Tribolium castaneum: one gene and its partner. The protein of the gene in region 2 purifies or fractionates together with the protein of the main gene of each other region. This does not show direct contact. Links are inferred from orthologs where the notes say so. Each region holds a gene or a part of one and is shown on either strand. Other genes may lie near its edges.

The links.
Region 1: the proteins of ribosome biogenesis protein BMS1 homolog (region 2) and Rtc1 purify together in Homo sapiens (co-immunoprecipitation; 4 studies listed by BioGRID and IntAct, with this or other methods). This does not show direct contact. The link is inferred for Tribolium castaneum from reciprocal best matches to the Homo sapiens genes BMS1 and RCL1.

The regions. Positions count from the first base shown.
Region 1 is NC_087394.1:7,340,728-7,345,809, reverse strand, and holds the start of Rtc1 (probable RNA 3'-terminal phosphate cyclase-like protein), read right to left. Parts: upstream 3,124-5,082; 5' UTR 3,039-3,123; coding exon 2,744-3,038; intron 2,685-2,743; coding exon 2,499-2,684; intron 209-2,498; coding exon 1-208. Other genes in the region: delta(3,5)-Delta(2,4)-dienoyl-CoA isomerase, mitochondrial, read left to right, coding at 3,697-3,754, 3,804-3,957, 4,017-4,105, 4,163-4,407, 5,037-5,082. UniProt on the Homo sapiens protein: As part of the small subunit (SSU) processome, it plays a role in 40S-ribosomal-subunit biogenesis in the early pre-rRNA processing steps at sites A0, A1 and A2 that are required for proper maturation of the 18S RNA.
Region 2 is NC_087399.1:7,282,462-7,287,566, reverse strand, and holds the start of ribosome biogenesis protein BMS1 homolog, read left to right. Parts: upstream 1-2,134; 5' UTR 2,135-2,330; coding exon 2,331-2,394; intron 2,395-2,439; coding exon 2,440-5,105. Other genes in the region: garz (Golgi-specific brefeldin A-resistance guanine nucleotide exchange factor 1), read right to left, coding at 83-625, 675-1,372, 1,417-1,644, 1,690-1,987. UniProt on the Homo sapiens protein: GTPase required for the synthesis of 40S ribosomal subunits and for processing of pre-ribosomal RNA (pre-rRNA) at sites A0, A1, and A2.

The DNA of each region.
Region 1 (5,082 bases), on a different chromosome or scaffold from region 2:
GTGTTGATGTAAATGTCGGGGAGGAAGTTGAGGAGGACGCCTTTAGCTTTGTCAACTATTCGGTTAGCAATGGCAGGAGAGACGCGTAATGCGAATGCTGTGCCTCTGATGCGTTTTACCATTCCACTGTCGAGGGAATGGATTGGTCTGAGGTGCTTACGGACGGGGCATTTGAAAATTACTTCACCGCCACCCAATGGAAGCAAGCCTATTTATGAGTAAAAATATTATCGGTTTATTAGCTTTCTGCGCAAAGTTAACAAAAAAATACATAAAAAACAGTCCATACAGTTATATCTTTTAACCAGAGCCTCCTTGATGAATGGAGAACCTCGTATAACTTAAAAAAATAATGTATGTATAAAACAAAACAAAAGAAATGCATAAAAAACAGTCCGTAAAGTTATATATTGTAACCAGAGCCTCCTTGATGAATGGAGAACCTCTTATAACTCGAAAAAAATAATGTATTTAAAATAATTCACGATGATAAAAAATAATAATTTAATAAAAAAAAAATTATGACTTTAATTAGTAAATACATTTCAATTTAATGCTTTAATTTATTTCCAAATTTATATTGCAATGCAAAGAAAAACAATTTTCAAAATACGAGTATAATTTTCAATTTATTGTTTAGAATTAATTCAATTCTATAGAATTCCTGTAGAATCAATTATTCCTATAAAAAGATCCTTTTGCTTTTAAAATTAAAATTCTGAAATTAAACAATAATGTAATAGAAAACTGGGAAAATTTTGACTAATTGAATATTTAATTTCATAATAATTGTCAAATAAATAGATCGTTTTAGTACAACTTTGAGAAAACAATGCTCTTATTTTTGCTTATTATATGCCACTATTTGTCAAACAGAAGATAATTTTGACCTAAATCCTTGCATTTAGTTTTTTAGGTGTAACCTAAACTGTGGTTTGATAGTAATTCATTTTTAAGTCAAATGAACCATTAATTTTTATTAGGTATTCAAGTAGCAAATTTTACAATAAATCTTTGCAAAAGTATGTATTTAATTTTTTATACACGGGTTGTTTATCCACACTAAAAATTCTAATGAACCTAATAATTCAAACTTGTAAATCCTAAATACGTAGATAGTTTGCAGCATTATGATACAAAAATCACCACTGAACAAAACTCAGTTTTTTTAAACCGCCTGTTAAGTAAAAACATAATTTCCTTGCGTTCGCAAATTATTTTTGAAAACTTTAAAATACCTAAAATATTTACTCATGAACTAATTTTTTTTGTTATTTTAATTTTAGAAAACTTAATTCAAAATAAAAAAACAGAAGGAATTTTATCATCTAAAAACTTGAAAAGTATAATAAGTAACTATTATTAAATTTGGTTAATCACATTTAGCCTTCACAAGGTGGAATTTAAAAAAAAATATGAAAGCTTAAAATGGGAGCTTTTAAACCGAGGTTTAAAAACATTTATTACTCGCATTATAAAAATTTGTTGTTATGTAAAAAAGAGAATTAATTTTTTACTACATGGTAAAACGTGGAATTCCTTGTTTATCTAATTAATAACAAAAAGTAAGCGAATTTTATAACTCTTTTTTTTTAAAAAAAGATAATGTGAATTTAGACACTGTTTTAGCATGAAAATATCTCAATTTTTCATAATTTTTTGTATAAAAGTTTGTTTTTCTTGAAATGTTTAGTTTTGCTATCAACTACACATTCATAGCGTTTGTTGAAAAATCATATATGTATAACTGAAAACTTTTCTAAAAAATCATTTTCTTATTTCGTGTGAAGAACAAAATTTGTACCGTCTGGGCAAATGCCAAACTTTTTACATATTTATACACAGAAAACTTTTGACCAAATAATTTTTTTGGAAAAATTGACTTTTAACAACTAGATATCGCATTTTTCTTAAGAAATTAATTAAAGAAAGAAGCACGTGACACTCATTTTGGCGTTGCCTTCAAAAAGAAAGATTTGAAACAAATCATTGGACGCTAAATCTTTTTTTTTAGTTTTTTGTCAACTTTTTTACCAAATATAAATAACTTAAATAACACTCATATTTTTTGCTTTTTTTGTCAAAAAAAAAAATTTAATTTTGCAGAAGTTATGTTGAGATAATTATACCTACGTAATAAATGAATAATTTTTCTTTTTTTTCACAAAATTGTTAATATAAATTAAGGAAAAAATTACATAGCAACAAATATTTTTAAATGTTATATGTATAAAACATATGGTACTGTAGGTTTAGACTCTAGCTCTCATTAAAAAAACAAAAGCGGAAAAATCGTATTGAGTTCGGAGATTATAATTATATATGGTTACAACTCCATATTCATGATAAAAAATATAACTTTATTGCCTTGTACAGTTATATCAAATGAATATGAACGAGAAAATGTATCGTCTAGAAGGCTGAGAAGAAATGTTACATAGCCTCCTAGACGATAATTTTTTTGACCACATGGTACAAATAAAAATAACTATCCCTACCTCTCTTGGAAATCTTCACATCAAGTCCCTCATCATCCAAGAAAAACTTTTTCAACGTACTTAACGCAGACGTCCTTATTAAATCAACGGAGGGATCAATATTATTATTTGTGACGCCTTGTAGAGTAGCATTTAAGGGTTGCTTACAAAATAAACCAAGCATAACCAAAGCTTCCAAGTAATAACCTACCCAACAACATTATTAATTAATAACCTAAGTTCAAAATTGAGGATAAACTTCTTACCAACCCCTCTCTGAGTTGAACACTCATGTTGTACCGTACCTCCGTACAGTAACCCAGGTTGGAAATACACCGCTGTCCCTGTTTCATTTAATTCAATAACAGAACCGTTTGTAATTTTATCCAGAAGACGAATTAAATTCACTTCAAATTCTCTTAAACCTGGCTCATCCTCCAACACTCGAATGTGGGTTATGCGGACCGGTTTACCGCTCAAAATCGATAAAACCAACCTCTGGCGAAAAAAATTGCTGCCCTTGTAACACAAAACACTTCCCTTATCAGTGGCAGTGGTCATTTTTGGAAATTGAATTCAAAATTTTTGAAGGTTATGCTGTCACACACGTGCAAGATTTTTGAACTACTAGCTACAGCTCACACAGAGGTGGTTTCACACGAATGAATTATCGAAACACATTTGGGTTCCTAAATATTTTTCTACGTGTTCTTAGTAGTCGTGAACGATTTAACAATTGCTTACTGTATTTATTTTATATCTCAAATGGGAACATTTCGCGATATCTCTTAAACAATCAGAGGCCCTAATTCGTGTGAATGGGTCTTTAGTAGTGCATAAAGTGTGCAAAATAGTTCTAATAACCACTGAGTAGTAGTACAAAGGTCACTTGGTAGTAGGTTTAATGGTTTTGCTTATTTATTTGCTGTGTTTTTAATTTTTGCAAGTTTCGTATCATAATTTGGGAAAAATCGTTATATTTTATAAGGTTTATAAGGTATGTATCGCTATATTGTATTGTACAAAGCGTGTAAACTAAAAACCTGTCTCAATTATTATTTATCATTTATAATGTTTTGTTAAACTTGAAACTGTATTTTTACACGTTTTGTTATCGTAAAGTTTGTATTCTGCACCATCATACTCCTTATCTATCTGTTTTGACTAATTATTTAACATTGTTTATGCAAAAAAACAGACTTGGGCATAATTCTTAATTATGTTGTCTTTAATTGCCAAAAGGGCCACCAATACCATCTTGCCACAATTCAATAACTGTAAGTGTATATCTGGGCACAAATATTATTGTTAAGTATTTAAATCTAGGTTCAGGAGGCACTAATTTTGTAAAAAGCATCGCCAAAATGTCTCATCAGGCTTCTTATGAAACCTTATCTGTAACAGTGCCTTCAGAATTTGTTTACCATGTGGAACTTAATCGTCCCGATCAACTAAACGCTATGAACAAAACCATGTGGTTGTAAGTATACAACTTCAATAATAATTATCATTAATTACCAAGTTTTTTTTGTAATAAAGGGACATTGGACAATGTTTTGAGAATCTAAACACTGACGAAAACTGTCGAGTGATTGTTTTATCAGGAGCAGGAAAAATATTCACAGCTGGTAACATTATTTAAACCCGATTAAGCGAAGTTTTTTTGTTTACATAAAAATACGTAGGTTTGGATTTTCAAGATATGTTGACGCTGGCGCCACAGTTAGCAGAACAAGAAGACGTGGCACGCAAATCTAAAATTCTTTACCAGTTGATTACCACCTATCAGAAATCAATCTCAGCACTAGAATTATGTAAAAAACCTATCTTAGCTGCTATCCATTTGGCTTGTGTGGGAGGTGGTGTTGATTTAATTGCCGCAGCAGACATGCGGTACTGCACTAAAGATTCGTGGTTCCAAGTTAAAGAAGTAGGTTTAAAAAAAACTTTGTATTTATGCAAAAAAAACTATATTTTTACTGTCTCTCAAAAACTAATAATCGTACAGAATTCAGCGTTTGCTTTTAAGTGCTTTATATTTTTCTCTATGCATGCGAATTTTTTCAGATTTTTTTTACAATGTACAGTTGCTGATTAGCTGATTTTTTATGACTAATGACAATCTCAAACATGTCGCTTATTTTTTTATAAAATGTTTTGTACAAAAAGTACGTAGGAAATTGTCGCAAATTCATTGCAAAGTAAATTACACCTAGTTACTAATTAAACCAATTTGAATTAAATTGGTGTTTACTTGGTAAATGTTAATTTAATCACGATATTAATACTAATATACAACGAATAAACTTCTTTAGGAACAACATTCAAGTATCTTTTATTGTTTCAGCATGTTATTAGAAGTAGTTAAAACAATATTTTTTCAGCGTCACAATTACTTAGTTTTGATTGTAGGGAATTGTATAAGAATATTGAAAAAAATCACACGCATTGAGAAAAAAATTAAGTATTTGATTATAAGTTTTTAAAATGTTTCAGTAAAAATATATTTCTGGCAGACTAACCCTGTATAATTATTATGTATTTTTAAAAATTTCAAAGGTCGATATTGGTATGGCTGCTGATGTGGGAACCCTCCAAAGATTGC
Region 2 (5,105 bases):
AAAGTAAGCGTGCACCATGACCAACCGCATAATTAAGTAAGCCTAGCTTACTTAAGCTCGAACTTATTTCGGCTAAACTTACTTTTTTTATGTTTTTTTGGGCCATGAGTTCGTCCTTGCTGGGAATTTGATCAGAGATTTTCTGTCTTGTCGTCTTACCAATAAAATTCGTGATGGATTCGATATTTTCGGTGCTTGACTCGACTTTAACCCCTTCTTCCGACTCACTTTTCTCGAAACAATGTTGTTCTATGCTCTCTATAACCGTTAATAGCGCGTCCAGTGATAACATATGCGTGTGATAAACGCCAGACGTGGCCGAAAATGCGTTTTTCGCCAACAGTTTAGTCAAATCCTCGTAGAGATTTGTACAATACATATTACAGTCATAATTTAGGTAGAGCTCAGTCACAAGACCCGGAATTCGCCACAGTTGAAGGATATTATCAAGGGCGATTTCCTTATGTTCGTAGGAGATTTTCCCCGAATCGGTCACAATGATATCAATTAGTTTGGTCAAGTAGAACTCTAGCTGGTACTTGAGGTGCGTCCGCAACGCCTCGAACATTAAAAAACAGACTTGTAAATCGGCCGCGAAGACCGACAAGCGTTCCGACGTCAACAGCTGGAAAAAATTCAAAAATAGAACCAAACTAATTATTTGGGGGACTTACAGAGAATAAGTTCCGACACAAATCATCCTTGACTAGAGCCAGAAGCGGTGAATATTTGCCGATACTGTCAGCCCCCACTTCAAAGGCCACAGTGAGCAACGTGAGCCCCAAATGAATCATAACATCGGTGTTTTGCTTATCTAACGGGTTACACAGGCTGATCAAAAACCTAAACAATTCACGCACACATGCTAGGCCGTAAGGAATCAACACAACCTCCTCGCCCATCTGTTGCGTGAACCTGATCCCCCTCTGGTTGACATAATCCTGAGTCTCTTCAACTTCAGGCGTCGCTTCCTCCTCGTGATTTTCCTCCGGACTTGGCGGATCCACACTTATTTGCACGTTACTTTCCCCAGTTTCGGAAAAATTCGAGGGCGATTCTGCCGCATTTTCGGGGGTATTTTGCGAAATTGACCCCTGCATGTCCACGATATTCCCCGCGGGGGTCATGGGGGTGGTCGAAAGGTGGTTACTGTGATTTTGGGGCTTCAGCTGGGTCGTGGGAGACGGCGTCTCCTCCAAACTTTTCGACAGTCGGAACGACTTTTTCCGCTTCGTCCGGGTCTGTTCAATAGCCCCCGGCCTCATCTTGAATTGTTTGACGGCACACAGGTCATCGGAAAACTGAGGGAGGCGCATAAAGACAAGCTGGACCATGTCTTTGAGATAGTGTTCGGCGGTGCGTCTCAACAATTCTAAAATTTAAGTCACATGGGGGCAAATAATTGAAGGGGCTCACCGTTCAAACGTGTCTCGAAACAAATCCTGAAGCACGACAGCATGATCTCGCAGAGACTCTCGTTGGTGAGCGTGGCCCCCTCGGGGGCCAGTGTAAGAGTCCGCAAGACTTGCAAAATCCGCATTAAAACCACCCCGTCGGAGCTCTGGTCGGTGCCCACGAAGCGGGCGTGCGTGACCGCGTCGGCGATGCTGTGCACGGTGGCGGGCACCGAGCTGTGCGTGGGGTCTGCAAGGGGGCGATCAGGACGAGTGGGGGCTGGCGAGCACTCACCGATCAATCCATACGCTAGGAATTTGTTAACGGCGGACAACGCGAGACTTGTGACCGGACCAGTGGTTTCCTCCGATCGGATCACCTCCAGGAACGGCCCCAAGTAGATGCTTGGTTGCACCAGACGCAAGTCGTCGATTTTGTTCAGGATTTCCTTCAGTTCTTGGAAGTTTTTCATAAGAGGTTCGTCGTCGTCTTGGTGAGAGTGGGACGACCAGCGGGCGCCACGGCGCATCGCCGTCATTAACGTGCACATTTCACCCCTTACGACGAAAATACCGTTGCCCGGAAGCGACATTTTTGCCCGTTTTTTCAAAATTCACGATTTTCACTGTTTACATACTGACACCACCAACACGTCAGCCTGACGTTTCGCGAAACACTACCAACACCACTTGCGAAAACTTGACCATTTTTCACGACGAAACGGCCCAAAAACACATCAGTTGGTACAAAAAATCACTCCGAGTCACTACAAATCATTAAATTGGCCCCTTTAATTCGTAAAATACGAAGAAGAGCCTTAATTACGCAAAAATTGATTTTGTCAAGTTGGTAGCTCTAAACCAATGTCAACTCGCAAAACGTGAGCTAACCTCAAAAATACATGTGTTGCGATTTTGGTGTTTACTTGGCAAAAAATGGTAAAAAACCAAGCGAACGATGACTCAAATGAGAAAAAATCGCACCGGGACCGGCATTCAGGTATTAATAATGTAGTTACGTTTCAATATTGTAAAACTGGTTCAGGTCGCAAGGCTGAGAAGAAGAAGGGCAAAAAGAATGCGAACCGTTTGGAAGACGTGCCTGATAAGCAGCGCAATCCCAAAGCCTTTGCCTTCAATTCGGCCGTGCGTGCCGAGCGTAAATTCCGCCGGAAACAGGACATAGACACGAAAAAACAGCATGTTCCTCTTGTCGATCGCACCCCCTTGGAGCCCCCTCCGATTTTAATCGCGGTGGTGGGCCCCCCGAAAGTGGGCAAGAGCACCCTAATCAACAACTTGATCAAGTTGTTTACAAAATCGCCCCTTGTCGAAATCAAGGGCCCCGTTACGATAGTCACCGGCAAAAAACGCCGAATCACTTTCATCGAGTGCAACAACGATATCAACAGCATGATCGACCTGGCGAAAGTGGCCGATTTGGTGCTGTTACTGTGTGACGCGAGTTTCGGCTTCGAAATGGAAGTGTTCGAGTTTTTAAACATTTGCCAAGTCCATGGAATGCCCAAAATCATGGGCATCTTGACCCATCTAGACATGATCAAAAACGCGAAAACTCTCAAAAACACGAAAAAAGTCCTAAAACACCGGTTCTGGACCGAAGTGTACCCCGGCGCTAAACTTTTCTACCTCTCCGGACTGGTACACGACGAATATTTGCGTAATGAAATTCGCAATTTGGGGCGTTTCATCTCCGTGATGAAGTTCCGCCCTCTGACGTGGCGCACCACTCACGGCTATTTGTTAGCCGATCGCTACGAGGATTTAACCAATCAGGAACTGGTCCGGCAAAACCCGAAGTGCGATCGTAACATCTCGCTTTATGGGTATGTCAGAGGCGTGGCGATTAAAAACCACGCCTCCATTCACATTGCCGGGTTGGGTGATGTTAAAATCCACGACGTTTCGTTTTTGCCCGACCCTTGCCCACTCCCTGAACAAATCAAGAAGCGGGCATTGGTCGAAAAGGAGAAGCTGATTTACGCCCCTTTTTCGGGAGTGGGGGGGATTGTCTATGACAAAGACGCGGTTTATGTCGAGTTGGGGGGCTCACACAGTCATAGTAAGAAAAACGAGGATGAGACTGACATTGTTACCAACTTGATCGATACGCAGAAGACGCTAGATGTGAAAATGGCGCATTCGAAAATACAGATTTTCACGGGAGGGAAGGAGATAACGGGGGAGGAATTTGGGGCTGGTAGTGACGAGGAGGAGGAGGAGGAGCAAGAAACGGAAACGAAACTTTACGAGAAGAAAGAAGAAGAAAAGGAGGAGGAAGATTTGGAGGGTGAATTGAAGAAATTGAGGGGGGCGTATGAACGGTTTCAGGAAGAAAGGGTGGAGGATGATGGGAGGGTCAGGAGGAGGGTCGTTTTTGAGACAGGAGATGAGCAATTAGCCAATAGGATTGAAGACTCAGATGGTGAGGACTCGGATGATTCAGAACAAAAAATTAAGAATGAAGAAAATAAGGATAAAAAGAGAATGAAGAAAACAGATTGTGACAATGAACGCAAAATGACGAATTTTAAAGAAGAAAATACTGATGATGAAGATTCGGATGAAGAAAATACAGATGATGAGGATTTGAATGATTTTGCGACAGAAGAAAATGAAGATGAAGTGCTTGTGAGAAAGAAGAATGAAACAGAAAACAAAGATGATGTCCATTCGAAAATTAGCAATATTTTGAAGAAACTGGACGAGAAGAAGGAAGCTACACTTGTTGAAGAGTCTTCGGATGAATTTGAAGAACAAGAAGACGAAAATCATGATGAAGATGCGTCAGAATCTGAAGATTTAGATGAAGACTCTGAAGATAACGACGACGTAAAATGGAAAGATAATCTGGCGGAAAAAGCACACAGTGCCTTCTTGGATCGCCAGAGCACCAATCAGAACCTCATGAAGCTAGTTTATGGCGTTTTCGAAAAGAATAACAGAAACGAAGACGAAGAAACACAAACTGAACCGGAAGAAGACGAAGAAGAAACGATCGGTGGTCTCTTCAAGAAGGTTTCTCGCGCCCAGCAAAAGCTCAAACTTGACAAGGACACAATGAACCTTCCTGAATCTTCCTTAATACAGCCCTGGAATGCCCCTGTCAGAGACTACCTGACCGAAGAAAACAAAACAACAATTGTCAATTGTTTCGTTACCGGCAAATGGAAGAGTTCGGAAGACGCTTCGGAGCTTTTAAAATTAGACGATGCCGAAGATTTAAGCGATATGGATGATTCAGAAATGTTCGGTGATTTTGAAGATCTGGAAACGGGTGAAAAACACACGAAGCGGAAACGCGACGAAGTGGAGAAAGACGAAGAGGCCGACAGGCAAGCCTTGGCCGAGAAGAAGCGCAAATTGAAGGAGAAATTCGATGAAGAATATGACAACACGGAGAAGAGCTCCTATTATGATGATTTGAAACAAAGCGCGGAAAAGCAAGCACAGCTGAATAAAACCGTCTTTGAGAACATGGCCGATGATGTCCGAGTGCAGATCGAGGGTTTCCGGCCGGGGATGTACGTCCGAATCGAGATTCGGGACGTTCCGGCTGAATTCGTGACGAACTTCAACCCGACTTACCCTCTGATCGTCGGCGCTCTCAACATGGGGGAGGAAAATATCGGGTACGTCAACGTGAAAATAAAGAAGCATCGCTGGTATAGCAAGATTCTCAAAACGGGG